Rattus norvegicus: one gene and its partners. The protein of the gene in region 3 purifies or fractionates together with the protein of the main gene of each other region. This does not show direct contact. Links are inferred from orthologs where the notes say so. Each region holds a gene or a part of one and is shown on either strand. Other genes may lie near its edges.

What was found.
Region 1: the proteins of Ogt (region 3) and Dido1 purify together in Homo sapiens (affinity purification with mass spectrometry; 3 studies listed by BioGRID and IntAct, with this or other methods). This does not show direct contact. The link is inferred for Rattus norvegicus from reciprocal best matches to the Homo sapiens genes OGT and DIDO1.
Region 2: the proteins of Ogt (region 3) and Sin3a purify together in Homo sapiens (affinity purification with western blotting; 4 studies listed by BioGRID, with this or other methods). This does not show direct contact. The link is inferred for Rattus norvegicus from reciprocal best matches to the Homo sapiens genes OGT and SIN3A.
Region 4: the proteins of Ogt (region 3) and Cxxc1 purify together in Homo sapiens (affinity purification with mass spectrometry; 3 studies listed by BioGRID and IntAct, with this or other methods). This does not show direct contact. The link is inferred for Rattus norvegicus from reciprocal best matches to the Homo sapiens genes OGT and CXXC1.

Annotation. Positions count from the first base shown.
Region 1 is NC_086021.1:188,190,875-188,198,883, reverse strand, and holds the start of Dido1 (death-inducer obliterator 1), read left to right. Parts: upstream 1-4,060; 5' UTR 4,061-4,162; exon of another isoform or gene 4,163-5,087; intron 5,088-5,097; exon of another isoform or gene 5,098-8,009. UniProt on the Homo sapiens protein: Putative transcription factor, weakly pro-apoptotic when overexpressed. Tumor suppressor. Required for early embryonic stem cell development.
Region 2 is NC_086026.1:66,378,008-66,385,767, forward strand, and holds the start of Sin3a (paired amphipathic helix protein Sin3a), read left to right. Parts: upstream 1-3,775; 5' UTR 3,776-3,912; intron 3,913-4,000; exon of another isoform or gene 4,001-4,259; intron 4,260-6,022; exon of another isoform or gene 6,023-6,128; intron 6,129-7,760. UniProt on the Homo sapiens protein: Acts as a transcriptional repressor. Corepressor for REST. Interacts with MXI1 to repress MYC responsive genes and antagonize MYC oncogenic activities. Also interacts with MXD1-MAX heterodimers to repress transcription by tethering SIN3A to DNA.
Region 3 is NC_086039.1:70,833,514-70,840,722, reverse strand, and holds part of Ogt (UDP-N-acetylglucosamine--peptide N-acetylglucosaminyltransferase 110 kDa subunit), read right to left. Parts: intron 5,826-7,209; coding exon 5,630-5,825; intron 5,377-5,629; coding exon 5,236-5,376; intron 4,620-5,235; coding exon 4,519-4,619; intron 2,280-4,518; coding exon 2,126-2,279; intron 2,043-2,125; coding exon 1,941-2,042; intron 1,545-1,940; coding exon 1,365-1,544; intron 137-1,364; coding exon 1-136. UniProt on the Homo sapiens protein: Catalyzes the transfer of a single N-acetylglucosamine from UDP-GlcNAc to a serine or threonine residue in cytoplasmic and nuclear proteins resulting in their modification with a beta-linked N-acetylglucosamine (O-GlcNAc).
Region 4 is NC_086036.1:70,085,974-70,093,845, forward strand, and holds Cxxc1 (CXXC-type zinc finger protein 1), read left to right. Parts: upstream 1-2,752; 5' UTR 2,753-2,805; coding exon 2,806-2,808; intron 2,809-3,470; coding exon 3,471-3,589; intron 3,590-3,691; coding exon 3,692-3,792; intron 3,793-4,082; coding exon 4,083-4,318; intron 4,319-4,406; coding exon 4,407-4,601; intron 4,602-4,955; coding exon 4,956-4,982; intron 4,983-5,058; coding exon 5,059-5,301; intron 5,302-5,454; coding exon 5,455-5,562; coding exon of another isoform or gene 5,563-5,574; intron 5,575-5,710; coding exon 5,711-5,895; intron 5,896-6,165; coding exon 6,166-6,373; intron 6,374-6,448; coding exon 6,449-6,559; intron 6,560-6,680; coding exon 6,681-6,730; intron 6,731-6,858; coding exon 6,859-6,955; coding exon of another isoform or gene 6,956-7,161; coding exon 7,162-7,314; intron 7,315-7,391; coding exon 7,392-7,538; 3' UTR 7,539-7,813; downstream 7,814-7,872. UniProt on the Homo sapiens protein: Transcriptional activator that exhibits a unique DNA binding specificity for CpG unmethylated motifs with a preference for CpGG.

The DNA of each region.
Region 1 (8,009 bases), on a different chromosome or scaffold from region 3:
GGCCTCTCCCTGCCCAAGTACACATGTGCAACTTCACATACACACGTGAATGAATGAACATGCACCAAAAATAGTAACATTCTTATGTACTGACATGTCAGTTAATAAAAGTACATTCTAGGTACTTCATATGGCTGTTACTAGGGAATAAATGAGTGCATGTGCCAAGGCCCTTCTCCAGTGTGAATACCAGCAAAGGAGGGAGTCGATAGCTCATTTGTGGTTTTTCTTTGTGTGTGGGTGAGTATACACCCAGGAATGCATAAAGGCCAGAGGAGATGGCCTGTGTTCTCTTGGCTCTGCCTTATTTCTTCAGGACAAGGTCTCACTCACTGAACTATAAACTAAGCCAGTAGCCAGCAAGCTCCAGCAATCCTGTCTTGCCTGTCACCACCATCCACAGCACTGAGGTTATAGGCATGAACTTGTACCTGTCCCTACTTGAGTGTCAAATGCTCTTACCCACTGAGCTCCATCCCCATGAGCCAATTTTTGTTTTAGGCTTTGAAATGCATTTGAGTTTGGGGTACACGTGGGAATGTTCCAGGGACCAGGTGAAAGGGTAGATCCAGTTGAGTAGAGGTGGGTTTCCACAGTATGTGTGGAATAGACAGGACGGTGGGGTAGAATGATGGCCGATGTACAGTGGCATCAAGGACTTAAGAGTAGAAAATAGGTGGGCATGTCCTGGGACAGTTGCCAAGGTGACAGGAATGTCAGCCTGGTGCATTCATTAACTAGCTAAGCTTCCTGTGTGCAATAGGTGGACCTGGGGAAGAGAAGTCATAAAAATGTGACCGAGGTAGGAGAGGTACCACTGTTCTGCAAACCAAGGCAGAAATTTGAAGTTGTTTCAGTGTGAAAGAGTAGCAGCTCTCAAGCCTGGCTGTAGTGATACACGCCTTTTATCTCGGCACTTGGGATGCAAAGGCTGATCTTTTGAGTTTAAGGACAGCCAGGGCTACACAGAAACCCTGGTTTTGTATTTGGGGGTAGGGATAGATAGCAGTTCCCTGAGAGAGAGAGATAGCACAACGGGTAAGAAGTATATGTGCTTGCTCCACCATGGCCTAATGACCTGTGTAGTAGACCCTGGGAGCCATGTAAAGGAAGGCAGAAAAGACGCCACCACGCCTACTTTGGTAATGTGCACACCACATTAATAAGAGAGAGAACATCATCAAGGGGCTGAAGTGATAGCTCAGTGGTAGAGAGAGCACTTACACAGCACAAACACACGATAATGGAGTCAACCCTCAGCACTGAATAATCAAATAGCATGGAGTTTTATAAAAGGGAAAAGCATTCTGAGGATAAAATACAAAATGCTTCCATTAGGTAAATAACCAGGGGGGCTGGGGATTTAGCTCAGTGGTAGAGCGCTTACCTAGGAAGCGCAAGGCCCTGGGTTCCGTCCCCAGCTCCGAAAAAAAGAACCAAAACAAAAAACAAACAAACAAACAAACAAAAAAAAAACAGGTACCAAGATGCCAGCTGCGTTTTGTAGAATAACTTTTTTTTTTCTTGGAGCTGAGGACCGAACCCAGGGCCTTGCTCTACCACTGAGCTAAATCCCCAACCCCGTAGAATAACTCTTACCCTCTTGAGACTGGGTCTTCTTCAGCTGGTAGACCAAGCTGTCTTTGAACCACAGAGACCAGCCTGCTGCTTTCCCAGTTCTGGAATTAAATCCAGAACTACATCGTTTCCATGGATGCTTTCCTTTACTTCCCCCCTCCCCCCAAAGTAAGCCCTTGGATTCTTTAATCCTTGGCTTCTGTTGAAGAGAGCTGCAAAAGAGCTACACATTTGTATCGCTTCCCCCTTTTTCTATAAATCCTGACATCTTAGCTGTAGGGGTATTACAGTGGTTAAAAGCCCTTGTTGCAGGGGATCCAAGTTCAATTACCAGCCCATACGGTGGTCACAGTCACCCCAAACTCCGAATTCCAGGGAATCTGACTCCCCTTTCTGACTTATGTGGGGGCCCTAGGCATAGCACATGGTTGGACATTCATACATGCAGGCAGAACACTTGGGAAATAAACCAGAAAAAGAAGGATCATTGACCTTTTTTTTTTTTTTAAACTTATTTTATGTATGAGTACACTATAGCTCTTTTCATGAACACCAGAAGAAAACATCAGATCCCACTACAGATGGTTGTGGGTTGTGGTTGCTGGGAATTGAACTCAGGACCTCTGGAAGAGCAGCCAGTGCTCTTAATTGCTGAGCCATCTCTCCAGCCCTGACCTCTATAGGCAGGTTTGCACAGATTCTGTTCTGTGGACCGGACAATTTGTGACATAAGCCCTCTTTGTTGTTACTTTTTTTTCTTCTTTTTCTTTGAGACGGGTCTCAGTGTTTCCCTGGCTGTCTTGACTGGTTTTTGTACTTTTTTATGTCTTAAGAGAGTGTTTCACTCTGTAGCCAAGGTTGTCCTGGAGTTCACAGGTCTTCTTGCTTCAGCATCCTCAGTGCTTGCAATACAGATGTCACTACACCTGGTTACAAAGTCTATGAATTGTTTTCTTGGCTCTTTTCTGTGCTGCCAGTACCTTGTGCTCTCTGTACTGTGATGGTCGGTGTTGGATCTCAGCTGTGTACAGATGTACCACTGCCAGATAAAGATCTGCTGCAAATTGGAATCTGCTGTTCTTACAGTGAAATCAAAGACAGATGCTTTACTCTATTCCACTTCATACAAAGTTGCTGATTTGTTTGTTATAGGATTCTTCAGTGCTGTGCACATTTTATCTAAAGTTAGCTGTTAAGATCACTCCATACCTAGCATGTCCCTAGAGTGGCTCCTGGTTCAATCTCCAGCACTGTACATAATAAAATGAACTAGAAGTTAAATGTTGGGTTTTAGTTTTTTTATATTTAAATTTTTTAAATTTAATGTGTATGAGTGTTCTGCATCTATTATGTGTACATACAATGGGTGCCGGGTGCCTGGTGTCCAAGGAGGCCAGAAGAGGGCACTGAATCCCCGGAACCGGAGTTTTTTGTCTCTTTGTGGATGCTGGGAACATAACTCAAGGGCAGAGTTGAGGAATCAGGGTAGGCTCCTTGACAAGAATCAGAAAGGTGGTATTGAAGGATCTCACCAAGGGAAGCAGACGCAGCCTCCTATTGTACTGGAAGCCCCACGAGCTGGCATGTAATCTTGGGACATGTTAGAAAGAAAACTACTCAAGACCTGGACTTCTGAATGGAGCATTAAAGGCCTCTACAGTGTGAGAGAGGGCTTACTAGACTGGAGCACATGTTCGTTCTTCCAGGAAGCCGAAGTTAGGACATAAGTCTGGCTTCCAAGCCTTGTGTCTGTGCATACATAAATAAGCTGGTTGTATGGGGCAAAGCTGAGCGCCTACCCGGTGTTAACTGCTCTCTGGGCAAAGTGGCTAGTGTTCACAGTACTGTAAGAGAGTAAAGGCCTCTCTCCGGTTTCCTTAAGTAATTTGGGGGACAGTGAAGGAATGTCACTGTAGTAAGCGCTAGAGGGGGGGGGGGATATCCTTAAATGCCTTCGTGAGGAGGCTGGGGGTTAGGGGGTCCGGCCCTCGTAGGCACGTATGCCAAGGCATTGGCTCCTGACTCCTGGTTGGTATTTAGGAAGAAATGGACGGGGCAAGGGTGTTTCTAGCAAGGAGTAAAGCAGAGTTAAGTCCCAGGGAATTCCTGTTGGGCGGATGCCCTTCCCGGCCCCGCATACTCCCTGCAATAGGCCAAGAGCTGCGCGGCCCGCAAAGGGACTTTGGAGTTTTCCTGGCTCCTTCCCACCGGAGTCTGACGCTGGTTTACCACGAAGCACCAGTCCCCGTAGGCGCAGAGGGTTTCTAAAGCTTTTGGAATACTGGGCAGAGTGCTGTTCCAGGATAGCTCGAGGAATCTCTTCATGGCATTGGCTCCTAGCTTAGCCCCTTGGTTCGGGAATCTGTCAAGCGTGCCCAGCCGATTAGGCTGGCGCTCCGAGGAGCCCCGGTGGCGCATGCGTGTAAGAAGGGCGGCACGGCCGCTCTAGCCTCACCACGTCTCGGTGGCCGGTTGATTTCTTCCGCTTGCCGCGCGGCCCACCGCTCTAGGACGGTAGTCTCGCTGGTCTCCGCTCTAGATCAGTGGTAGGTCTGGAAATGGCTGCGGGATCCCTGCGGCCGGGGTAAGTGGCTCTGTGCAGCGAAGGAGGGCGGGAGCCGTGTGGACCTGAACGGCATTTAGGATCGGGGCAAGGCGGAGCGACGCCATGCCGGCAGCCTAATCCTGGCGAGCGGTGCAATGGCGCCGAGAAAATGGCGTCGCGGTCCGTGAGGCCCTTTCCGGCCCCGGGCCGAGGGATCGCGGAGGAGCGCGTGAGGCCGGGCGGGCGGGCGGCCTGCCTGCGTCTGGTTTCTGTCTAATCACTGGTTGGCTTGTGTAGTCCAGGCTGGTCTGGGTCTGGGAGGCTGTGGAGCCCTTGATTGTGATTCGGGGTTAGGGGCCCAGCCAGCCTCTCGCGGCCGCAGGTCCTCAACACTGGTAGAACACTCGTGGTAGGACGCGATCGGGCCTAGGCGCGAATTCGCGGGAGTAGGAGCAGATATCTCTTGGGGGTGGGGGGAGGCTTCGGGGAAGACCAAGGCCCAGCCCCTCGTAGGGCCTGGGCGTTGCCTGGGCTTTCATTGCCTCTTGCCAATGTTGGTGGCCAGGTGTGGGTTAATGTAGATTGATCTCAGCAGTAACTCTTGAGTAAGAGGCCCTGGGTTTGATTTGGAATGTTGTGTATATTTGATTTTCCACAAAAGGATGTTCCTTGTTACACTTGATTAAGTGGAGTGAGTTTGTCTGTCGGGCAAACTCAGTTGTGTACAGATGAGAAACAGCACACAAAAAAGGTTGTGTAATTGATGACCCCCTGCCAGCACTCATGACCGGCACTTTTCCTCCTGGCACTCAGTGCAAGTGTAGCATCACAATAGCTTGCTGAGAACGTGTGCTAGGGAACCTGAGGAAAGCTCAGGTAGGTCTTGAAGGCGAGATGGGATGTCTTCCTATCTTTTGTCGTTCGCAGAAGTTTTCTATTGTCAGAAAAGCTCTCTGGACCTCTGGTAGGTATTGCCTCAATAGGCTAAAGAGTCTTAATTCAGTTGGTGCTGAGCACCTCAAGAATGATTTCTCTTCAGCATGTGGGTACTGTGCCAGGCCTTACACTTCTGTCAGCATGGCATGTTTTACCATGTTACACATTTGTCCTGTGAGACTAGGTGACTTCTGTTTGGCCCCAGAAGAGTAAAGATTCCACTGTTTCATGTTGCTCTTAGATCCCTGCATAGTGAACCCATGTTGTAGGAACTGTTTCTTATGCTCAAGTCCTAACTAAGAAATTGCCCCTAAATAGAGTTTTCCTTAGGTCTTAGGTGACTGGGTCTTTATAGAAACTCACCAATAGTCTCTAAGGTTGTGTTGATTCGGTTACAAAGGTTGTGTGATTTGCAGCCAGTGATAGTGTGCTCTTTGGAAAGAGGAGGTCAAAGCCCAAAGTCTGAGGTGTGCTCATTTGTTCTGAGTGTGCAGGCTCATCTGTGAGACAGACAAGGCTTTAGTTTATTTTCTGAGCAGTCATTTTGAGAAGTTCATAAGGGAACATGAGTAGGCAGTTGACATACTTTTTAAGAATAATTCTAGAGGTTGGAGAGATGGCTCAGCTGTTAGGAGTTCCTGTTTTCTTTTCTACAAAACCAGAACTTGGTTCCCAAGCATCTGGAGGGCTCACAACCATGTCTAATTCCAGCTCTGGGAAGTCCTATGCCTTCTTCCGCATCTTTGGGCACCTGCACACAGGTGGCAGACACATTTTTTTTTTTAAGATTTATTCATTTATTATATATAAGTACACTGTAGCTGTCTTCAGATACACCAGAAGAGGGCATCAGATCTCTTTACAGATGGTTGTGAGCCACCGTGTGGTTGCTAGGAATTGAACTCAGGACCTCTGGAAGAGTAGTTGGGTGCTCTTAACCGCTGAGCCATCTCTCCAGCCCAGCAGACAAATTTAAAAATAAGTAATTTTATCCTTGTGTCTATACAGTTTATCCCTAGATGTTACCTGACTGTTGGGAATAGAAAGTGCAGGTTATTTAGGACAGGAGCAAGAGTTGGGAGACTATATCCAGAGAGCCTTCCCCTGAGAAGCCTGATAGGCACTGTCAAGGATTTGGTAAATTGTAGCTTAAACACATGTGTTTGGGTTTGAAATAGCCTTGTTGCCTGTTTATATTGTGTTGATATTGAGGAAGTACTGGGGATTGTTGCTCCTCTAACTGCCTTGAAAGGAATTCAGCTGAGCTGCAGTAGATAATACAGGAAGCTCTGCTAGAGCTCATTGTTGACCTCATTATCCTGCGCCCACACCACAACCAAAGGGAAAAACGCCCATGTATTGTCTCCACCAATCCTTGAGATGGACAGGAAGGCTCCAGCTAAAACACAGCTCCTTACTACAAATGTTAGAGATGGAAAGGAAGGTTTCAGCTGAAAAGTTTCTTGGGCTTTGACCTGAACTTAGGAACTTACAGCCTCCTCAGCATAATGGCTGAACCTGAATGAGGAGGGAAAGGAGTGGGATCGGATTGGGTCTACTCATGGCCCTTGTGAATCTTAGCTAGATAGAAAGGGTGCTTTACACAGACAGATAGCAATTATGGGGGCTTTGTGCTCAGTCCCCACACCAGTGATTCTCAAACCAAACTCCAAGGTCTTTATACTAAAGCCTTCCTGGTGACACTAAAGAGCCTTTGTTAATACTGATTGATTTTACATTTTTATTCATTATAAAACACTTTTATTTAAACTCCAAAGTCTACGACAACTTAATGAAAAAAAGCAATGTTTATGCTTTTGTAATCTGTTTATTTCCCAGTGACTGTTTTCTTCCATCTGTTTCTGCTTCAAGTGTCACATCACTGTCATTTAGCCCCTAAAAAGTGTGACTTTTCAGTGGTAAGAAAGGGGCATCTGATACTTAAGCGCTGTGCAGCTAGCTCTGTCTATCCAACTATCCTTTTTTTTTTTTTTTTTTTTTTTTTTTGGTTCTTTTTTTCGGAGCTGGGGACCGAACCCAGGGCCTTGCGCTTCCTAGGTAAGCGCTCTACCACTGAGCTAAATCCCCAGCCCCAACTATCCTTTTTTTTTTAAAGATTTATTTATTTCATGTATGAGAATACACTGTGGCTATCTTCAGACACAGCAGAAGAGGTCATCGGATCCCATTACAGATGGTTGTGAGCCACCATGTGGTTGCTGGGAATTGAACTGAGAACCTCTGGAAGAGGAGTCAGTGCTCTTAACCTCTGAGCCATCTGTCCAGCCCCCAACTATCCATCCATTTTTATCATTGACTGTTCATAACGATTAAAAGTTCTCTTTTTGTTTTTGTCTTTTTGCAACAGGGTCTTGCTATATGTCTCTGGCTGTTGTGTTAGTCACTCTGTTGACCAGGCCAGCCTACCTCTGCCTCCCGAGTGCTGGGATTAACAACAAGCACCACAAGGCCTGGCCTTAAGAGTGCCCTTATTGCTGGGCACGGTGGCACATGTCTTTAGTCCCAGCACTCGGGAGGCAGAGGTAGGTGTATCTGTTTGAGTTCCAGGATGGCCAGGGCTACACAGAGAAACTGTGCCCTGACACTCCCCACCCCACCCCCAAAAAAGGAGTGCTCTTATTGTTGAAATGAGTTGGAAGAATACTTGACTCTAAACACCTAGAGAACAGATCACCTTTACACTATGAGACGGTGTCTTTGAGCTATTTTTATTGGTGTGCCCAGGTTCTTGCCTTTGAGGAAAAGTATAGAACAAGAAATGATTTTCTTGTGATATTAAAGATGCTGTTTTATTCTATTTGTACTCTGAGATGTGAGTTAGGATCTGCCAATGCCGTGATGCTTAGAAAAGTGGCACAATCAGCTAGATGTATCTGCAGAGGACAGGCACCAAGACTGTGCTTGACCGGCTCTTGGCATTTACTATAGG
Region 2 (7,760 bases), on a different chromosome or scaffold from region 3:
ACTCAAGGTGTCCGGAGTTGGTCGACCGCTGGAGTTTAGGAGCAAGCCGGGCCCCGCGGTCTTTCTCCGCTAATCACGCTAGGCGAGTGCAGCAGCCGCCCTGAGCGTTTGTTTCTGCCGGCAAACTTGGAGGGTCGTGGGCGCGCTCTGGGGAGGCGGGGGCACTGTGGGCTCGCGGTTGTTAAGGACTCTGGGGGCGGGGGCAATGCTGTATTTGCTAGGAGCCGGAGAGGTTCCAGCCACTAGCATGGGAGCCGCCGGTGTGTACGAACTCCTGAACCACGGCAATTTAGCAAGTATTCGGCGCCAGTGTGGGCTAGGCTGCGATCTGACGTGGAGCGCTTGCTGAGTGTAGGAAAAGCTCTAGGAACTCGGCAGATTCAATTCGCGGCCCCAGCTGATCCCCTCGCAAACATGGAGCTGCCTCCTTCCCCGCCCACCTCACGGCGGCGGCTACTGCTCCCCCTCCCTCCCCTCCCGCCCTGAGTAGTGTGCAGCCGGGGCTCCCTCTTCCGCGAGGTGCCGCTGCGTGCCACTGGGCCGCGTACGGGGTGGGGGCAGCCTTGTATGCGCGCGCGCTCACGAGGGGGTGGCCTGAAAGGGGCAGTGAAGGTCGGAAACTGGGAAAACAGACTCCACGCTTGGAATAGGGAAAAGGAAATGCATCAGCGGGCGGGGAGGGGCGCGCCTGTCAGCCGGATGGCGGCTGCGGGCGGAGAGGCGGGGCGCCGAAGCAAATTGCGGGCAGTGGCGGTGCTGGCGGGGAGGGGAGGCTCAGGGCCAGTCCTCCAAGTGCGCGGCCATCTCTGCCTCCGTAGCCTGGCCAAGACTGTTTACTATCTCCTGCAGGGAGCTTGTGCAACCGGCCTGGAGGGGACCCGAGAGGGGCGGGGACATTTCCTCTTCCACCCACTTCGGGCTCTCCAGAGGCTCCGCCTTCTCTTGTCTTTCACTGGTTAAATTCGAGTCCCTCTTTCCCTTCTTGTGTATGCATTGGATGATATTCTTTAGAGCTCCGCCTATCCGGAGGTTGGACTGGAGTTTAAGTTGCTAAAAATTTTTTTTCTTCGAAGGGCGGAGGGAGGATTCCTGGGGCTTACTTGAGGTACAAGCCCCCGCCCCTGCTTTTGATTGGCCAATTGGATAGGCCTTCCCCTTCTGGGACAAGCTAGGAGGGGACGTCCTCCGGCTCCCTCCCCCCCTTTCTCATGAGCGCGCTCGGCACATGGTTGAGGCCCTTCTAGCTCCCATCAACTTCCCTCCCGCCCGGAAGTCTCAGGCTCCGCGCCCTTATTTAGGGGGGCGGGGAAAGCCTTGGAGGCACACAAAGATTCTTCCGAGTCTAAAGATCTGCTAGCCCTCGAGGTGAAGCTCCACAATTGCGCTGTTGCTCCAGAAAGTGTAGCTCCCGGGCTGCTGCACGGAGGGGAGGGAATGAGTTCTAACCTCCTCCCGGTCAACTTTTGCTGCCTTTCTCTATGCCCCTTGACTTCCTTAAATTTAAGTTTGAGAAAGCTTGGATGTTGGCCGCATCCTTAATTCCTTGTGCAAGGCAATCGTGATCCTTAGTCGGCGGAATCTAAGATTATGACAACCTAGAGATGGAACCTTAGGCAAGATCTACGAAACCTCGGTCTCTGCAGTCAAGGGAAGTCCGGGAGGCCTGTTTCTAGCAAGGATTCGGGGGTATTCGTTGATACCATGGTGGGAGTGCTGTACATTATGTGGTAGGTACCCCGTCTGGTGGGTAAGGCAGTTCAGTTAAGGATAGGCATCTGTCAGTTTTGGAGTGCTACTTCAGCCTGGGACGATTTAGCTGTTTTTTTTTTTGTTTGTTTTGTTTTTTCTTATTTTTAAAGCCCTGTCCTGGAACAGGGCTTGGCTTGTTACCGGTGTGGCTGACCGGTGTGGCTGCTCCCACCTGTCGGCCACTCTTGGAGTTCACAACTCTTTACTATGGCCTCACGGCGTGAAGCCATCCTAGGACTGAGACCCACCTGTTGCCAACACTTGTTTATGGCTGTCTCCGTAGGATTACAGGAGAGCAGCACTGGATTTACGAAACGGTTCCCGGTGTTGTATCTCTTGGGGACATTCGACTCTAGGGAGGATTTTTTTCCCTTTGCTCTAGAGCGCGGGAAGACTAACCCCGCCTAACCTCACACGGCGCAGCAAAAGGCTCCCCAAAGCAAGGTCGGCATCGGTCCTACGCCTTATTAGTGAATAAATGAAAGGAATTAGGTATCTCAAAGCACTTTATATGTTTAGGCATTGTTACCTACCAAGAAGGCTTAGAGACCGCCATTAACTCATTCTGCCAAGGAGGCCATGGATACCCCTCACATTTTTTTTTTGAAGGGGCTGGCCTAGGAGACACTATTCCTGCCCTATCGAGGATAGTTGCGATTACAGGCTCTTCCCTTTGAACAGTCGTTTTTAAGACCATATCCTTCACACAATCTGGAATTTTTACTCGTTATCTGAATGTGAATGCACACTCAAGGTTTATTTATACAGTGGTCTGTGTGAGCTTTTCTGCATCCCTTCCTCCAGTTTAAAATGTCCCTGGATCTACCCGGCCGACCTGGAATACATTTTTTTTTCTCTCATGCTCCGCCTTCCGGAGGCTTGCCCAGGCGGTGACATTTAAAGGCCTCCGCTGGGTTATCTCCGCCCCCTGAGGGCTGCGGATTCTGGTTGTCCCAGTGTCACAGTATGCAGCCGGCTCTGGCGACTGGCTAGTAATATCTGGGTTTTTTGTATCAGATTAGAGCTCCAGACATTAATTTTGGAGTCGGCTTGCTGAAAGTAGCTGCTGAGTGCTCCAGATGGCTGTGTTTAGAAGACCGTGAAAGTGTAAAAATAAGTGGGTAGGAAGGACGAGGCTTTCTGTCATTGTTTTGGTTAATCCTCCAATGGTGGTAATACTACTGCCTTTTCCTTTTCAAATCTCAAAGCCTCCGGTTTCGACCGCTGCGCTGCGCGCCATCTCCGGTCCCGGCCTTGGAACGCTGAGCTTCAGTCTCCAGTGTAAACATTCCACAAAAGGACTGCTAAGGTTCAGCATCCTCGCGCAGGGCGGAATGGTCTCCTTCCTGGACCGGCGCCGTGTCCAATGGCGGCTCCTACCGGCGCCAAGATAGTCCAATCAGATCTTTGGGGGCGGAGCCTGGCCCAGCAGTGTAGTGGGTGGAGTCGGCCTCACTTAAGGACATTTTTACCCCACATTGGTTACTTACCTTCCTAGGGCTATGAGAGAAGCAAAGGTAGTCTTCCAATGCGGGAACCGGCGGAGGCGGGAGCCGATTTGTTAGGCCTGTGGCTGGGGCGGTATGGGGAGGGATATGTGAGACTCTCCAATGAGATGTGACGAGGTACCCTTCTTCCTCCAATAGTATTGGAGCCTGGAGGAGGGATTCGGCAATCAGTCTCCAATAGGCGGGGTTGAGTTAGGGACTCTCCCCGCCAATAGGGGCGTGGAGAAGGTGAGCGGCTTGCTCTCCCCTCCCAGCGAGGGAAGAGGGCGGGAATAGGCCTTTGCGGCACGGTGATTGGCTAAACCATTGACGGATGGGTAATATATCCCGTGGCGGAGCGAGGTTAAGCCTTCCCTCGGCGGGGCGGGCCGGGAGAGTGGGCGGGATTTCCCGGGTAACAGAGAAGCGGCCGCGGCGGTAGAGGCGGCAGAGACGGTTTCTCCATCTTCCCCCCTCCCCTTCCCCCCTTAGAGTTTCCCTCCCTCCCTCCCTCCTTCCCAGTCTGGACACCCAGGCCTGTGACCGCTTCGTAGGCGCAAAGGAGGTTGCCAGTCCGCTCTTGCGGGCCTGTGCCCGCGCCGTTCCGGGGCCTCCGTGCTGGGTGCGAGGCTCACGCCGGGAGCGACGCGCAGGCTGAGTGGCTGGAGCTTTTGCGGTGAGAGCACGCCGCGTCGCGGTCTGCCCAGCAGCTGGGTGGCGGGTAACCCGGGACTGGAGGGCGTGTGTTTTTCGGGGGGGCTGACCTCGGCTTCCCGTGCGTGGCTGTGGGGGGCGGAGCGGAGCCGCACTCAGTGCGGGAGGGGGAGGAGAGCGTAGTCCCGGTGCGCACGGAGGGGCGGGCCCTAGTCCCGCCGATCAGAGGCGGGGCCGGCGCGCGTGCGGTGGTGGAGAAAGGGGCGGGGCGGGCTGGGACTAAAGGCCCGCGGCCGTGGCCCCGCCCCTTCTCCCCTTGTGGGCGGGGACACGGGTTGTACTGCTTTGGGTCCGCGGGGTGTGCGGGACGAGAAGAGGGTCCCGGCGTGTGGCTTTTAGGGCGCGGCGGCGAGGGGGCGTGAAGCCTGTGTTCCCCCGCCTTAGCGGGATCCGGTTGGCCGGAAGGCGCGTCCGGGGCTGTGATGCCACGCCCCTCCCGCCCCGCCCCCGCCGGGATTTCCGCCTCCTTAGCTGTGAAGCATAGCTGGGGAAAGCCCGCTGTAGCGTCTGGCAGGGGTCAGGGTTCCGTGTCTGCCCCGCCCTGCGTCCCTGTAGGTGGGAAGGCCGCTTGTAGACTGGGAGCGGTGGAGGTGTCCCGACTTTCTGCTGTGGCTTCTCCATCCATTCTGCTTGGGGCATCGTGGCCCGGAGCTGTAGTCTCTACTTTGCTTCACGCATCGTGAATGGCGCCTTAAAAGCTATGGAGAGTAGAAGCGTGGTCAGCTGCTCCTCTTAGTTGTAATTATTGGGACGAGAAACTCAGCGTCCTCTCTGGAGTGTCTGCGGTGGGGTGCGGCTGGTGCTGGGCCCATGCTTCCCCGCCAGTGGCCGGTGGGGGAGGGGCAGCGTACTCAGAGACTGAGATTCTGGAGGGCGCCAACCTTTCCTAGAGTTCCCTTGGTGTTCAGCTACTGTGCCTTAACAGAGCTAAGCTGTGCACCCATGGGTAGATAGCTAAAATTTGCTACCATTTTTGGTACCTCAGGACTTTAAACTCAGTTTGCCGTTCCAGCTCCTTATAAAGCTGAGACTGTATTTCTAGAGAAAGGATTGAATTTACTTCTTAATCTTAAAACTGGTCTTTGGCAGAGATGATATTTGAAGATGATTGTGTGTGTCGGAGTTTATTTAAGGCACATAAGTATTGCTTCACCACTAGGTTATACCCCAGGGCTGATTTTTTTTCCTCTAGTCAGAATTTTTCTTTTTAATTTAAGTAAAATACTTTGATTTCTTGATTTTTTTTTAACCTACAGAAGGTTTTGTTATATAAGCTTAGCTGCACAAAGGTAACTTAAAATTTTGTGTTCTCTTTTAGTTTTATGTAATTGTTAGTCCTTAAAGATCTTTTTAGATGCTAAGTAGGTTGAACCTTATGAAACCTATGTGTAGCATGACCTCCCAACCTGTGTTACTTTGGCCATTGTGGATTTATTGCACAGGTAACCTTATTAGGTGGGTTGGTGTTAGCTGATCTTATTTAGAGAACTTTTTATGAAAAGTAAACACTGAATCCTTAATTTATGTATTGATGTCTGAATGAGTATGTATAAACCACTTTTAAAAAAGATTTATATTAAAGTGTGCGTGCGTGTGTAAGGCCAGAATAGGATGTTAGATCCCCTGTAGGTGGAGTTAACAGGTGGTTATGAGCCACCCGACATGGGTTCTGGGAACCCAACTTAGGTCCTTTTGCACGAGCAGTCTGCAGTCTGTATTGAGCCGTCTCTAACCCCATCGTTTATATGTAATTTCTGAAGCTAAATTCTGGATTTGTCCTTTGTTCAGTAGAGGCTGAAAACCATGCCCTGTGCCGTACATAATGAAGAGGTTAAATATTCACTTTTCAGCTAAAAAAGTGACAACAGCAGTAGTAACAGAATTGAGGTGGAGGCCAAAAGATAAGAACTTGGGTGTCTTACAGATGTAGCACATTGAAAACGGTAGTAGAGAATGCTTAGCCTTTGAGGAAAGTTTGCCTAACCTCAGTTAATTCTACCATTTGAAGCACAGTCTGGGAAATACAGATGACCTAATTCATATCTTTTTTGTTTTTCTTGTTTTGTTTTTAGAAACAAGAGTTTAACTGTAGCCCTGGGTGTCCTGGAGCTCACCCTCTAGACCAGGCTGGACTCAAATTCAAGAGATCTGTCTGCCCCCCAAACGCTGGGATTAAAGGCATGTGCCGCCACTGCTGGGCATAATTCGTACTCTTATAGAATGTGTATTCTAGATTGTGTGCTGGAGTCACAAGTCCTAGGCTTTAAAAATTCAAGAACCTAGTTATATTTGTTTGCTTTTGTTTTTGTTTTTTCTATTTTTACATTTCCATCCATCAGTACTATATGTTTATTTTTACTTACTAGTATCTAAGAGAACCTGAGTTCAGTTTTTAGCACCCATGTCAACATGTATCTGGAGCTCCAAGTACTGACACCTCTGGCCCCTAGGCACCCAGACACAGGTGCATACCCATATATCTATACACGTGTGAAAAAAACAGAAATATAGCTTTGAAAAATGTTAATACTTTTAAATTCAGGCCTTAATAGTTCGCATAAAGAAGTTTTTTTTTCTTCTTTTTTTTAAGACTTGAGATCGGTATTAATTAGATTCCTGGCAAAGCACAGCCATCTTGACAGTGCAGCCAATATCCTGAAAGGCTATCCAGGGTAGCTGTAGGGGGAAATTTACTCAGAATTCAGAGGTTGTGTTCATGACCTTCAGTAATCTAGTGGTTTTTTTCCCCAACTAAAAGTGTATGGACTTATATCTTTTGATTCTTCTTTTAAAAAGATAGTACTTGCTTTTTTAAACAATAGCATCCCTCTTGTAATAAGGGTTTATATTTATTGAACTCCGATTCTGATCATTTGCTAATGTGTTTAATTGTATGTGCACGCATGGCTGCTTTGAGTTGTGGACTGGTGAAATGGGCCACTCATTTATCTGAACCCGCTCTGGAGCTCAGCCTGCCTAGAACTCAGTGATTTTCTTGCTTTTGCCTCAGCTAGGGTTACATCTCTGTTTTGAAATGCATGTTTTACAAGTGAAGGTGGCTTCAGTGGGTAAAGACATTTACCATGCAAATTCTTTAAGACTAAGTTAGATCCCAGGAATCCACTGTGGAAGGAGACAGCTAACTCCTGAACATTGTCCTCTGACTATCATATCTGTGCAACCTTCCTAACAATAATAACTAAATATTTCAAAAACAACAAGGTGAGGGGCCAGGGAAATACCTGTCAGTAAAAATGCCACTGAAGCAAGAAGACTTGTCCTATTTTTGAGAGATACTTGAAAAGCTGGCCCATGGAAATCTAAGTGTGTGGTAGCCTGGCCTGAACTCTTAACACTAGGAGCAGTAGATCATCGGGGATCCCCTGGTGCTAGCCTACTTGAGCCAATTCCTGGCCAGTAAAGGAACATGTTTGAAAAATGGACTTTAGGGGTGATGGCTGAGGTTGACCTGGCTTGCTTATGCACAAATACAGACTTAACTAGGGACAGCAGAATGGTTTAGTAGGCACAGCACTTGTTCCTAGAGCTTGAAGAACTGAATTTGATCCCTGGAGGGGTTCAAAGGTGGGCCTCTCTATGAGAGACCACATAGATACATATACACATATACAGTAATATGTCTGTAATCCCAGCACTTGGGAGCTAGATACAGGAAGATAGATGTTCAAGGCATCTTGGCTACTTTGGGAGTTTGGCTCAGCCTGGGCTACACAACACACTGCCTCAGGAACACAGAATGAGTGACTGAGGAAAGTAGTACACAGAGGTTTAGTCTACATAGGTGATCAA
Region 3 (7,209 bases):
TGCCTGGAATAGACTGCATAAGGTGTGAAGTAGGATGATTCCCAAAGTCAGAACTCACATAGCCTACACGCAATCGGCCATCACTGAGCTTCAAGTCTTTTGGATGCTCATATGGTGGTTTATGAAGGACATTAATCTACCAGCAGAATACAATGTTCATTAGGAAAATCAAGTAATGTGTAAATTTTAATCTAAAAAAAAAAAAAAAAAAAAAAAAAAAACGGAAAACAGAAAACCGGGACTGGCAATGAAGCTCAGTTGATAGCATGATTTGCCTAGCTCATATAAAGCTAAGAGTTCTATTCCCAGAACTACATAAAAACCAGGCATGTGGTGCCCATCTTTAATCCCAACCCTCAGGAGACTAAGACACATGGAGCTTTGAGTCTACACACTGGGTTGCAGCCATCCAGTGTGATGTAGTGAGACAAAACAACAACAACAAAAAAGGACATGTTGGTGCACCCCTGGGACCCTGTCATTGTGATGTGGAGACAAAGGATCTGAGGTTCAGTGTGATCCTCAGCTGTATAGAGCTTAGAGTGAACCTAGCTAGGATATAGAAAACCTATGAAACAGGGGTTGGGGATTTAGCTCAGTGGTAGAGCGCTTGCCTAGGAAGCGCAAGGCCCTGGGTTCAGTCCCCAGCTCCGAAAAAAAGAACCAAAAAAACCAAAAAAAAACACAAAAAACCTATGAAACAGTCTGAACACATCTAAAATTTCTAGGAACGAAGAAATATGAATGGAGTATGATAACCCTTACAGAATTTTAGAAACTTCTATGGATAGCATTTTGGGGAAAAATGATAGGAAGGAAAGAGGGAGTAGAGAGGGGGAGAAGGAGAGAGGGAGGGAGGGAAGGAGGGAGGGAGAACTTTAGATCTATCACTGTTTCCTGGAGGAGGATTCTAAACCTTACCAAGTCGTGTTCTAATTCTCAGAGTATATAATACTACACGCTCAATTTAAACATCATGTGGGGCTTTTGTTGTTATTGCCTTTAGTTTGCTTTTCAGATGGGAGCTTTTGCTTGTTTGTGGTTTTGAGGTAAGAGCTTGCTATGTAGCCTAGGCTGGCCTCAATTCACCATCCTCTGCCTCTAAGTGTTGAATTACATTAGTACTGGGATTATATGTTTGTATCACCATGCCTAGTCTAGATTTCCACCTTAAAAAAAACTACCACCATCAGAAATGAAGAAATGAGCTCAAGTCAGGCCATAGGCCACAGTGAAGTAAGTGTGGCTTCTAGGGTAGCTAAGTCAGTTTCATTTCTAGTTGGTAAAGTCATACATTTGATTTATACAATGTTTTTCTCTATATGCATTTCAGTTTACAACAAAAAGACTAAAACGAGAGTCACCTTATCCAAGCAGAGATTCCCATGCCTCTCTGCAATGGCCTTCCTGAAGCCATGGGAAAGAGGGTACAGCATGCTGTGATGAGGATGGACAGAAGGCAGCCTATTCTTCTCTAGCTGCTCAGCTACAATACTAACCAATTTCTTCATCCGCTCATCATAGTCTGTCCAATCACAGACAATCTAGAGGAAGCAAGAAGAAATGATCACCCAAAAACTTAACCAAAGATTTATTTTACAAGTATTTGAGCTCCTAAAGTAATATTAGATAACCGCCTAAAAGCACAGTCTTGGGGCTAGCTCAGTGAGTATAGGTGCTTGCCTTTGCATGCCAGACGATGCATGCCAGACGATGCATGCCAGACAATGCATGCCAGACAACTGGAGTCCAATGCTAAAAGAAATGGCTCCTGAAAACTGCCCTATGATTGCTACTTGCCCAAAAATATAAAAATAAAGAAAAATAAAAATAAAATAAAAATACTGTCTCTTTTCTCTAAGCAGGCTTAGATTATCACGGAACACAATTAAAAAGTGGTAACAATACAGAAAGAAAAACATTGAACCATTATTCTTTACCTGTAGGCAATGAGCCAAGTTACAATAAGCATCAGGAAAGTCAGGCTTAAGTTTCAGAGCTGTGCGGTAAGAAGCTATTGCTTCTGGAATATTCCCTGAATCCTGGAAAGAAAACAAACTTGTGAGGAGTTTCCTACAATGATACTTCAGTGCTAAGGTACCCCGTCTTTAAATACCAGCAGTACCTTGTGAATGGAAGCCAGATTGCTGTGTGCATCTGCGAAGGCAGGATTAATCTGGATGGCACGAGTATAACACTGCAAAGCTCCCTGAACATCCTGCATCTCCTTTAAAGTGTTTCCCATATTGGAATAAGCATCAGCAAATGTAGGACTGATTCTGAAGGAGAAGACAAAAGCTTGATTATCTCATGTAAAATCTTGTTATATAAAGCACTCGGGGGGTTTGGCATGTGATTAGGTGCTTGCCTACCAAGCATGAAGCCTAGTTTGAATCCCCAGCACCAAAGAGGGAGAAAGAGTCATTTTAGCACCTACCAAATGCCAAACCTTTAATTATTAGATAGTAATAAATTATTAAATAATAACAATAAATTATATAATAATTAGGGCTCAGCAATTATAGTTCTTGCTGTTGCAGAGCCTGAATTTTGTTCCCAGCATCAATGTCCAGCTCTAGGGGGATAAAGCACCCACTTCTGGAACTTAAGGACATTTTATACATAGATAATACATATACTTAAAAGCAAATTAATCTTTTATAATATGACAATAATAAGCTGGGTGTGTTCCCAGCACTTGGAAGGCAGAAGTAGGCAAATCTCTGTGAGTTTGAGGCCAGCCTGCTCTACAGTGCAAGTTCAGAACAGCCAGGGATACTGATAAAAACACATTTTTTTTTAAAAAAAAAAAGCAGTAATTTTAAAAGGTTAGTGAGATGGTTTAGCAGGTAACTTGATGGCTACAATCAAGCTTGATAACATGAGTTCAACCACAGAACATATATGAAAAGATAAAACAGTTATCCTCTGACCTCCACATGGGCACTGTAGTGTATGCCCACATTTCTCCACACACATGAAATAAATGAAATATGATTATTAAAAAGTAAAGCAGGACATTATACATGCCTTTAACTCCAATACATGGGAGGCAAAGGCAGGGGCATCTGTGAGTTCTAGGCCAGCCTGATGCACATGGAGTTCCAGGACAATCATGAGAGGCCTTGTCTCAGGGGAAAAAAAACTAAAAATAAATATAAGTAACTAAATGAATAAACAAATAACAAGGGGCTGAGAGAGGTGGCTCAGTACTGACTGCTCTTCCAGACAACCTGGGTTCAATTCCCAGCAACTACATGGGGCAGTTCACAACTGCCTTACTCTCAACTCTAGGAGATCTAACACACTCCTCCCTCTTCTGGCCTCTGTGGGGACCTACATGTACTGCACATATCCATATACAGATGAATATTTTTAATGATTTTTAAGTTTAAAATATGTAAGTCAGGTATGGTAGCACATGCCTTTAAATCCAGGACATGGGAGGCAGAGGTAGGTAGAGTAGATTTCAATGAGTTCAAAGCCAGCCTGATATAGTGAGTTCCAAAACAAACATGAACATAATTCATGATTGTTTCATGTTCATAATTTTATGAGACAGGGTACATAATGAAACCCTGTCTCATAAAAAGCTTAAAATAGTTAACTTTTAAATTATTTTATTATTTTATGTGTGTGGATGTTTTGCCCACATGTATGGTTATGTAACATGCACAAGCCCGGTGCCCTTTAAAGTCAGAAGAGGTCATTAGAGTTCCTGGTATTAGATTTTCAGATGGTTGCGAGCTACCACCCGGTGCTGGGAAATGAACCTATACACTCTCAAAGAGCAGCCAGTATTCTTAATCCCCGAGCCATCTCTCCAGCCCCAAATTTTTGTTTTACACAAGGTTTTCCAATGTAGCCCTGGCTGGCCTAGCTCTTGCTATGCAGATTAGGCTGGCCTCAAACTCACAGAGATCCATCTACCTAAGCTCCTGAGTGCTGGGATTAAAGCATATACCACTATGCCACGCCTTTAAAAAATAGATGCCAGGTGCTGATAGCACACAACTTTATCCCAGAATTTTGAGAGGCAGGGGCAGGTAGATCTCTTGAGTTCCAGGTCAACCTGGTCTACAGAGTGAGTTCCAAGACAGCCATGGCTACTTAGAGAAACCTTGTCTCAAAAAAGAAAAAACAAAGAGATGCTGAAGTGAATGGGAGAAAACCCATCAGGCTTCAATCCTATGCAAAGATATACAGGCATCTAAGTAAGAGTAAGCCTTCTGTAGGGAAAAGCACACCAATTGGTTATCCAATACCAAATGGTCAGCCCTGAAAATATACACAGTAACATTATACAGGTTGTGAAAGTTGTATGTAGAAATACATAAGCATATAAATATATATATATACATATTATGTGTGTTACAACAATTCACAAAAAATGTGTCCATGGATTTGAGAGCAAGGAGGTATGGTTTATGGGACAGTTTTAGAGAGACAGGAAAGAAAAAATGATGTAATTATAATCTCAAAAATGAAAACAGAAAAAAGAAGCTATGGGTTTCTTACCTTATGGCTTCCTTATAGTGCATCAGTGCTTCCTGCAGCTTGCCCTGCTGTTGCAGTACACTTGCTAAATTGGAATGTGCAGCAGCAAACTCTGGGAAGACCTAGAGTTCCGATAACAGCTGACATTAAATAGCAGAAAGACTCTCCAAAGTACCTCCCACAGCTCTGAGACCATCACTGTGTACACCTAGGCTTCTCGCCACCCCTTCCAAGTTTACCCAGTCTTCAGGTCTAATAGCTCAAATTCTACTGCTCCCTCCATTTCATACCTATCTTCATTTGAAACAGGAGGTGTGCTTCTCTTCCTGTAATCATGCTGAGTAATGCCACTTCTTTTCTAAACTCCTACTAACCACACAGGCCTGAGTTCTTCACTGTAATAGCTTTACAGTGAAGCTATTACTAAGCTTACTAGTCAATATCTTGCATGTCATAGGACCTTATATCAATAGTGAATGACCCTCTTAAAGAGGTGAACGGCAGCTGAACCTTTAATCCCAACACTTGGGACTCTCTGGGTTCGAGGCCAGCCTGGCCTACACAGTAAGTTCCAGAACAGCCAGGGCTACACAGAAAAACCCTGTCTCAAAAATCAAAACCAAAAATAAAATAAAATAAATAAACCCAGAGGTGAATGAATGGCAGGCAAACTAAACTGCTTTCCCTTTACTGTCCCATAGGCTAGGCTAGACCCTCCAGTCACAGCACTGAACATACCTCTAATGCTTTGCGATACAGGCGAACTGCCTCTTCAATATTGCCCTGTTCCCGTTTGATGTTGGCAAGGTTATTCAAAGAGTCTGCATGGGTAGGACACAGACGAAGAGCTGTGTTATAACAATCTTCTGCTTCAGCAACCTGGAAAATAAAACAAACCATTCAGAAACTACACAAAAGAATCAGGGAGACCGCTGCTATTCTAGTAATTCAAGTAACTGCATCATTGAGTCTAATGGCTGGTAACACACTGGAAAATGGACACTTTTCAATATCCTCCTTCCCAGCAACCAAAACTCGAAAGGAAACCAATATAACAATCTCAATACTTAATATGTACAATGAAGACTCTTCTTTTCTACCACGTAACAAAGAAATAAGACAAAATCCTTACACTGCCCTTCTCTTTGAGAGCATTTGCTAGGTTGCAGTATGCATCAGGGAAATGAGGCTGCAGTTCTATAGCTCGCCTGTAGGTATCAATGGCCAGGTCTATAAGGCCTTGCTCATAGTACACACAAGCCAGGTTGCCGTGTACCACCGCATGATTTGGGCTCAAACTTAAGGCACGAAGATAAGCTGCCACAGCTCTGTGAGAAAAACAAAAACACATACACAAAATGCAACTAATTAAACATATTATTATTAGTGTTTATGACATGTATACAGGTCGGCATAGACCACAGTACACGTGTAGAAGCCAGAAGACAGCTTTGTAAAGTTGGTTCTCTCCTCCCATTGTGGGTTCCAGGGATCAAATTCAGGTCATCTGCTTATACTTTCACTCACTGAGCCATCTCGCCCTTAACCTTAATGGAGATTTTATTAAATGAAATGTGAATTAATTTTAACTAATGACAACTTGATATTTTATTGAATATCGAAATCTCATTTTTAATAAAATGTATTTTTTTTTTTTTGGTGCTAAGAACTGAGCTTAGGGCCTCATGCATGCTAAACAAGGACTCTACCACTGAGGAAAATTGTTGGCCCTGCATTTTTTTCTTTTTTTTTTTTTTCCCTTTTCTTTTTTTTCGGAGCTGGGGACCGAACCCAGGGCCTTGCGCTTGCCTAAGCGCTCTACCACTGAGCTAAATCCCCAACCCCGGCCCTGCATTTTTATTTTGGGATATATGGGGTTTTTTTGTTTTGTTTTGAGCTAAGATTTTACTCTGCAGCTTTAGCTGACCTCCAGCTCTGTGCAAGCCCTTCTCCCCTGGCCTCTCAAGGGCTGGTATTACAGGTGTAAGCTAGAACATCCAAGCCCAGTATGTTTTCTTGAGAGAGTCTTGCTCCATCAAGGGCCTGGCCTTGAACTCACAGCAATCCTCTTGCTTCAGCCTCCAAAGTACCAGACTATATAAAACATATTTTCACAGAAAAAAAATTTGTGTATTCCTGCTCAGCTTCCCTTAAACAACAAAAAAGTTACAAATCAAAGGCTAAAGAGACAACTCAGTGGACAGGAGCACTGGCTGCTCTTCCAGAGAACACTGGTTTGATCCTAGAACCCACATGGCAGCTCACAGCCATGTATAACTCCAGTTCTACAGGCCGTCTTCTGGCTTTCCAACATGGTCCACAGACATGCAGGCAAAACACCCATACACAGAAAATCAAATAAATCAAGGGGCTGGAGAGATGATCAGTATTTAAGAGTGTTTGGTGTATAATTATGAGGACCAGAGTTTAGATCCCTGAACCCACCTAACAAGCTAGGTATGGTCATATAGAAGCATGTACCTCAGCACTGGGGGAAGGGGATTATAACAGGACATCACTGAGGCTTTCTGACTGGCAACCTAGTCAAAAATGTGAACCCTGGGTTCAAGGAGAAAGTGCCTCAAAGGAATAAGATACAGAATGATAGGATGGGGATGGACACCAGCATTCTCTACAGGATTCCCATGTGCCATTCACCTGCACACACATGTACGTACAACCTCCCTCACTAACACACACAAATTAGAAAAG
Region 4 (7,872 bases), on a different chromosome or scaffold from region 3:
AAAGTTTCCAAAACCCTAGCCAATCCCAGAGACGACCCTAGAGATGGCCAACTAATCAAGTTAAAGATCCATTTACCCCCACCCTGGAGTTCCTCCAATCTGCTTTAAATTATTCCTGTGAAGCTCACCCTGGTCTTCAGTTCTGATGGTTGGTGGACCCCTGCAGGCTGGATTTCTGCAGAATAAGTGCTCTTTGCTTGCATCCTAATTGAGTGTAGGGTATCACTACTCTTCAGTGAATCCTGGACCCTTTCAAGAGCAAACAACTGAAAGCGAGTTCGTCTACAAAGTTTCTCCAAGTTTTCCTTTTTATCATTTTTTCCTTTTAACTTCACAACCTTTAAGGGGATTGTCAAGTCAGGGATAAGTACGAAGCTATGTTAACATTTGCTGCAGTTTTATTTAGAATGTCATTTGAAAATGTTCTGTCAGCGTAAAAGTCAGTGTCTCACACAATGGTACACAGAAAAGAGCTCATCCAAGCCCATAGTAAGAAGGGCTGAGAAGAGTTGCCAGGAGATACCAATTTTAGTTGTCCAGATTAGGTACTGAGATGTGGCCATGCCGTGAAGGATTAAGTTCAGTTCCCAGAACCCACATCGAGCAGCTCACAACACTGTAAATCCAGCTTCAGGGGACTCCTACTCCCTCTTCTGGCCTCCAAGGGCACTGCGTGCATATGACAGGAATGACTAGACACACAGACTTTTAAAAAAAATTACAAACAAATAATTCTCTTTTTTCTCCCCCAGGACAGGGTCACTCTTTCAAGTCAGGGTTTCTCTTTTGAGACAGTTTCTCTTTCAAGACAGGGTTTTGGTACAGCCTTAGCTATGCTGGAATTCATTCTACATGTGTCTGCCTGCCTCTGCCTCTGCCTCCTGAGTTCTGGGATTAGGCATGTACTACAACTTTACTTCTATATAAGCTGCAGAATAATGCCAAAGCACACACACTTTATCCATTTCTTCGTCTGTTTTGTTAGGCTTTTTTGAGATAGAGTCTTTAGCCCAGGATGATTTTAAACCTCCACCTCTGTCACATGGTAAGTTCACAGGAGAGCATACATAGACCTTAAAGTTGACTAGAAAGTCTTTGTTTACTGTGGTGACGCAAGAGGTTTTCCCAAATCATGTAGCCCCAGGCCTTACCACTGTTGGTCTTTTAAGCACAAAAACCGCATTCCAGGTTGACACACGTTAGTTAACAAGACTAGTTAGCAAGAAGGAGAAGGACAGAGGCCAAAAGCAAGGTTAGTATGTTTAGGGACTTTCCCAGACCCATCCTGGAACCAGTGACTTAGTCTTTGATTCCGTTTTGTCACGCAGACTAGGTCTTTGTTCCTGTTGGTTCCGAGGCCTGAATGATGTTTTTTATTTTCGGTGTCAGTTGATTTAAGTGTGGAAGTCAAAAACCATTTGTGGTTGTCAGTCCTCACCTCCCATCCTCCTGTCTAAGTTCTGGGAATAGAACTCAGGTTGCCAGGCTGGGCTACAAGGGTCTTTCCTGGCTAAGCTGTTTCACTGGCCCTAAGAACTCTTTTCATTATTTGTTTTTGTAATACTAGGAGTCGAACTAAGGCCCTTCGTACTTTTACTTGGGAATTACTGTACTTGGCACTGTTTTCACTTCAGGGCTATGTAATTAATATCGTGATAATACTGGCTCTGAATGTCTTTTCTAACACTCATTTCATTTATTTATTTATTTATTTATTTATTTATTTATTTATTTATTGGTCTCCTTCTCTATGCCCCTAAACTCCCAATAGGGTTTCAAAATTGTGCAAGCTGGACTTCAACTCTAGGCAAGCCTTGTTAATTTGCATCCTTTAACCCCAGCCCCATCAGTGCTGGTATTACCAGCATATGCCACCATGCTCAAGAAGTTAAGACTTTTTTTTCAGTCAGAAGTGATCACTCATGACTTTAATCCCACTACCTGAGAGGGAGAGGCAGGTGGATTTCTGTGAGTTTGAGGACGGCCTGATGTACACAGTGAGTTGAAGCACAGCTAGGACTAGAGAGACTCTGTCCCAAAAAAACAAAAACAAACAAAAAAAAAACCCAAAACAAAACAAAAAAACAAAGCAAAACAAAAAACTAGGCCTAGCTAAAAAACATGATTTGGGAGGCAGATAAAAGTGGAGCAAGAACTGGGCCAGGTACTGGCACGACATTTATTTCCCTCTCCGGAGGCCTGGCATTCCCATTGATAAGCATCGAAGGGTAAATGATTGGATGCAGGAATGAATGAGACACATGTAGGCAGTAACAGGATTAACCAGTCTGTGGCAGCAGCAGACACTGTACGGAGTCAAATATCAAGTTGGCCACGCCCTTCGGAAGCCGTGATCCGGAAGCTACTGTTTGTTGCCTAGGAACGCACGGAGCCCGCCTGATGACGCTAATCAGCTGACGACATCTGCGTCCCAACGTCGAAGCAAATGCGGCCATATTGCCCTCTGGCGGCCACCGTACGGACTTGACTGACAAGGTGGCGGCGCGCTCGGACGACCCGAACTGTAGGCGCAGCCATACTTCCCGGAACGTATGGTCTCCGCTGTCTTACGGACTGGATGGTCAAGATGGCGGCGACAAGGAGACATTCGAGGCTCTAGATGGGCGACCTATTTGTTTGCCGCTAAGCGGTCGCGCCAGGCGTGGGGAGTGAGAGTGCGGGACCGCGGAGGCGGGACCAGTGGCGGAAGTAGTTGCGGGTGCCTTTGCTACCGCGGCCGAGGGGCTTGTTCAGCTTCGCGGGTTGCTGCGCGGGGTCCAGAGAGGGTGCTCTGTGAGCGGAGATATGGTGAGTACCTGGTCGGATCGGGGTTCAGAGGCAGAGGTCGGAGGGGTTGGCAACCGCTGCCTATTGGCAGGCGCACGGGGTTCCTGGCGAGCTGTGTGCCCAGTCTCTGGGCCGGTGAGTGAAGGGGTGTGATGAGGTTTGAGGTGAACCATCTGTGAGTTCTTTGATGAACCGTTGTAGGGGGTCCGTAGTGGAAGTTCAGTGGGGACTCCAGATGGCAGTTTTGTGGGAAACCTTCACGCGAAGTACCTTCGTCAGAGAGATAAGGACTTGGCCATGAATGTATTTGCACAGGCTCTGGAGAACCGGCATTGGGGGTGGGGTCCACGAGCTAAGTTATAGACACTTGTGGGAAGTCGGGATGGGACGACAGCAGAATAAATTTAAGTGCTCTCCGTGTAGAACTCTTGAATGGGACAGTTTGGTTGAGTGTATGCGATGAGCAGTCAGAGTGACAGGATGCTTGACAGTGTGATGGGAGGTCTGAGTGATGGGGAAGTAGAACACAAAGTAATGAGGCCCAGGACTAGGTGAGGAGGGTCTGGGTGAACTATAACGGAAAGGCTAACGGGAAGTCCGAAGACACAGTTGGAATTTGTGGCTATCCACGGTGGAGCTGTGAAGAGGGAATTAAGGAGCCATCATGGGGGTGGGTCTCACAGGAAGGAGATGGCTCAGACCTGGAACCTCCAGATGCTGGGGAGGACAGCAAGTCTGAGAATGGGGAGAACGCCCCCATCTACTGCATCTGTCGCAAACCGGACATCAATTGCTTCATGATGTGAGTTTGGGAGAAGCAGGTGGGCTGATGCCTGGCAGGGGCGGGAACCCGGTGAAGCGGACCCACCCCTCACATCTCCACCACTTGCTCTATTCTATGCAGTGGATGTGACAACTGCAACGAGTGGTTTCATGGGGACTGCATCCGCATCACCGAGAAGATGGCCAAGGCCATCCGGGAATGGTACTGTCGCGAGTGCCGAGGTGAGGCTTGTGCATGGGCAGTGAAGGAGGTGGACTCCAAGAGATGAAGGAGCTGTAATGGGAGGGATCCTGGGTGATAATGGTGTCCTGTGTGGCCAGAGTGATCGTTGGTCTGTGGTGAATTGGAAGGCCAGCTCCAATGTGAGCAATTGTGGAAGAACCCAAAGGAAGGGGCAGCTCTCCCATAGCGTGAGCTGGACAAGTAGGTGGGGCAGGAAAAGAGAAAGAGGTTCTGGGACCATTCAAACCTCTCCTCCAAACCCACCTTGGCTCCACTCTTTGCCTCACAGAGAAGGACCCGAAGCTGGAGATTCGTTACCGCCACAAAAAGTGCCGGGAGAGGGATGGCAGTGAGCGGGACGGCAGTGAGCCCCGGGATGAGGGAGGAGGGCGCAAGAGGCCTGCTTCAGATCCAGAACTGCAGCGCCGGGCAGGGTCAGGGACAGGGGTTGGGGCCATGCTTGCTCGGGGCTCTGCTTCGCCCCACAAATCTTCTCCACAGCCCTTGGTGGCCACACCTAGCCAGGTGAGTAGCCACAGTGCTCGGGGTGGGTGAAAGTTCTGCTTTGGGCCTCATCTATATCCTCATCTCTACCCTGGATACTGTCTCCTAGCATCACCAGCAACAGCAGCAGCAGCAGCAGCAGCAGCAAATCAAACGGTCAGCTCGGATGTGTGGTGAGTGTGAGGCATGCCGACGCACTGAGGACTGTGGCCACTGTGACTTCTGTCGTGACATGAAGAAGTTTGGGGGCCCCAACAAGATCCGGCAGAAGTGCCGGCTTCGCCAGTGTCAGCTGCGGGCACGGGTGAGCATGGGCAGAGCTGGGCAAGATCAGATAGGAGAGCATGGCTGGGAGGCTCAAGTAGGGCTGCTTGAGCTACAAATAAGAAAGTACAGGTGGGGTGGAGCTTGGTTATGTTCAGACATGTGGGAGGGGCCTAGCAAGTTCAGGGGAAAGCTGGGGGTAGGGTGGGGGGGATGATAGCTTTAGGTTGTCAAGCATGCCAGGACACATGGGGTAGGATGGAGTATATCTGTGGTGAGGGGAGGGGAAAACTGCATTTGTTAGACCAGGCAAGGCCAGGGTAAGTAAATGGGGTTAGGACAGGGAAGACCTTTATTTTCCTGGGGCTGACCTAGGCCTTCCTCCTGCGCACAGGAATCGTACAAGTACTTCCCTTCCTCGGTGAGTCCAGCCCCCCAGGGCGGGGCAGGGCTGCGGGCAGGGCGGTCAGGGCCAGTCCTGAGATTCTGCCCCGCAGCTCTCGCCGGTGACACCCTCAGAGGCCCTGCCAAGGCCCCGCCGGCCACCACCCACTCAACAGCAGCCACAGCAATCCCAGAAGCTGGGGCGTATCCGTGAAGATGAGGGGACAGTGTTGTCATCAGTGGTTAAGGAGCCACCAGAGGCTACAGCAACACCTGAGCCACTCTCAGATGAGGACCTAGCACTGGACCCTGATCTGTACCAGGATTTCTGTGCTGGGGCCTTTGATGATCACGTAGTGAGTAACATGGTCATCCTGTGGTGGGGAGGAAGGGGAAAAGGTGAAGTCGTAGAATGGGGAGGGGGCCAGAGGGCGAACAGGCTGCTTGGGAAATGAGCAGCAGGTGTGGTAACGAGTCATCAGGTGGGTCAGCGCATGCCCTGCTTGCAGCCATGGATGAGTGACGCAGAAGAGTCCCCGTTCCTGGATCCTGCACTGAGGAAGCGGGCAGTAAAAGTGAAGCATGTGAAGCGTCGAGAGAAGAAGTCTGAGAAGAAGGTGATGGAGAGGGTAAAATGGGCATTAAAGGAAGAGGATGGCGCGGGGAGGGAGGTGGAGACAGCCAGACATCTGGAGCCTTGGAGAGGCAGACAAGGTCTGAGGCTGACCTCTGTGGAAGCCTGACATGACGTGGCTTGCCCTTTAGAAGGAGGAGAGATACAAACGGCACCGACAGAAGCAGAAACATAAAGACAAGTGGAAACACCCAGAGAGGGCCGATGCCAAGGACCCTGCATCTCTACCGCAGTGCCTGGGACCTGGCTGTGTGCGCGCCGCCCAGCCTGGGTCCAAGTATTGTTCAGATGACTGTGGCATGAAGCTGGCAGCCAAGTGAGTCTTCCCTGGGGCACTGAGGGGTCAGGAAGTACAGAGTAGGGGACGGCCAGACTTCCCTCCGTATACCTACAGTTAGTTGTCTAGGTACTGTTCAATCAAAACCCCATGGGCACACGAAGCCACTATGCAGTCCCCACCCCACTTCCCACCCCCCCAGTCACTCAACCTTGAACCTGTTTGAGTGACCCATCATTCACTGTCCCTTGGTCAGCTCACTCACTGCTTCTGGTGCCTCTCTGCCTGCACCTCACTGTCTCCCTGCAGCCGAATCTATGAGATCCTCCCCCAGCGAATCCAGCAATGGCAGCAAAGCCCCTGCATCGCCGAAGAGCACGGCAAGAAGCTCCTTGAACGGATCCGCCGTGAGCAGCAGAGTGCCCGCACCCGCCTTCAGGAAATGGAGCGCAGATTCCACGAGCTTGAGGCCATCATCCTTCGTGCTAAGCAGCAAGCTGTGCGAGAGGACGAGGAGGTAAAGACGTGGTAGAGTGGGCAGGACCCGGTATGGCGTCCTGCCTGGCCTCATCTTTCCTTTCAACCTATGCAGAACAATGAGAATGACAGCGATGACACCGATCTGCAGATCTTCTGTGTCTCCTGTGGGCATCCCATCAACCCCCGAGTTGCCTTGCGTCACATGGAGCGCTGCTATGCTAAGGTCAGGAGGCTAAGGGAGTGGATGGCCGGGGGTATCTATGGGCCCACAGGGACAGATTGGTTGCTTGGGTAGTGTCATGAGAGGGCACCCAACTTCCTTTTATCTGTGTTCATCCTTCCAGTATGAGAGCCAGACATCCTTTGGGTCCATGTACCCCACACGCATTGAGGGGTGAGTAAGCCGTGTGGAGTAGGAGCAGGGTGGTGAGGGTGGGGTGGGAAATAGGATTATGTGTGGAACTGGGGCCTTTGACGTGTTCTTGGAGCTACTCAAGGCCATATCCTGTGTTAATCCCACAGGGCTACCCGACTCTTCTGTGATGTCTACAATCCTCAGAGCAAAACATACTGTAAGAGGCTCCAGGTGCTATGTCCTGAGCACTCACGGGACCCCAAAGTAAGGTTTTTCCTCAAACCCCCTGCGTCCTGTCCTACCCTGCTTCACGTCTCACACCCATTCGTTCTTTTCCTCCCTTCTTTCTTCCTTCTCTTTTCCTGTCAGCTTCCGTTCCCGCCCTTTCTGTTTAACCATCCCCCACGCCTACTCTTTTGTCTCCTCTTGACTCCCCTCACCTGCTCACACCTGCCTTGCTGTCTCTGCAGGTGCCAGCTGATGAGGTCTGTGGGTGTCCACTTGTACGCGATGTCTTTGAGCTTACAGGTGACTTCTGCCGCCTGCCCAAGCGCCAGTGTAATCGCCATTACTGCTGGGAGAAGCTTCGGCGAGCAGAAGTGGACTTGGAGCGCGTGCGGGTGGTAGGTTTAACACTGGGGTAACCAGAGTCCCGGGCTCCGGGAGCTGCTTCTCATGCTTCCCTCCACTTCCTCGGCAGTGGTACAAGCTGGACGAGCTGTTTGAGCAGGAACGTAATGTTCGCACAGCCATGACCAACAGAGCAGGATTGCTTGCCCTGATGCTGCACCAAACCATCCAACACGATCCACTTACTACCGACCTTCGCTCTAGTGCTGACCGCTGAAAGTCACCAGCCCAGAGCCTCTCAGCCCTGCATTCAGTCAGGGAGGGGCTCTGCATTTCAGCTCGCTCTTCCTCCGTTCATCTGTTTATTCTACCACCCTTAGTTTTCTTCTTACCATCCATGTTTTGGCTTCTGTTTGCCCTTATCAGAAGGGTCTCTGCTTTCCCTTTGTCTCCTCTCCATAGTCAGTGCTGGGTGAAAGTCAAGTTTACTCAGCCTTGCCTATACCCTCCCCCAAAATAAACAGGTTTTGTTAATAAAATTTTGAACAAGAATATCTTTGGATAGTCTCCACTTTCAGTTGTGGTCCCAAACCCAGGACAAGGTAGCTGTA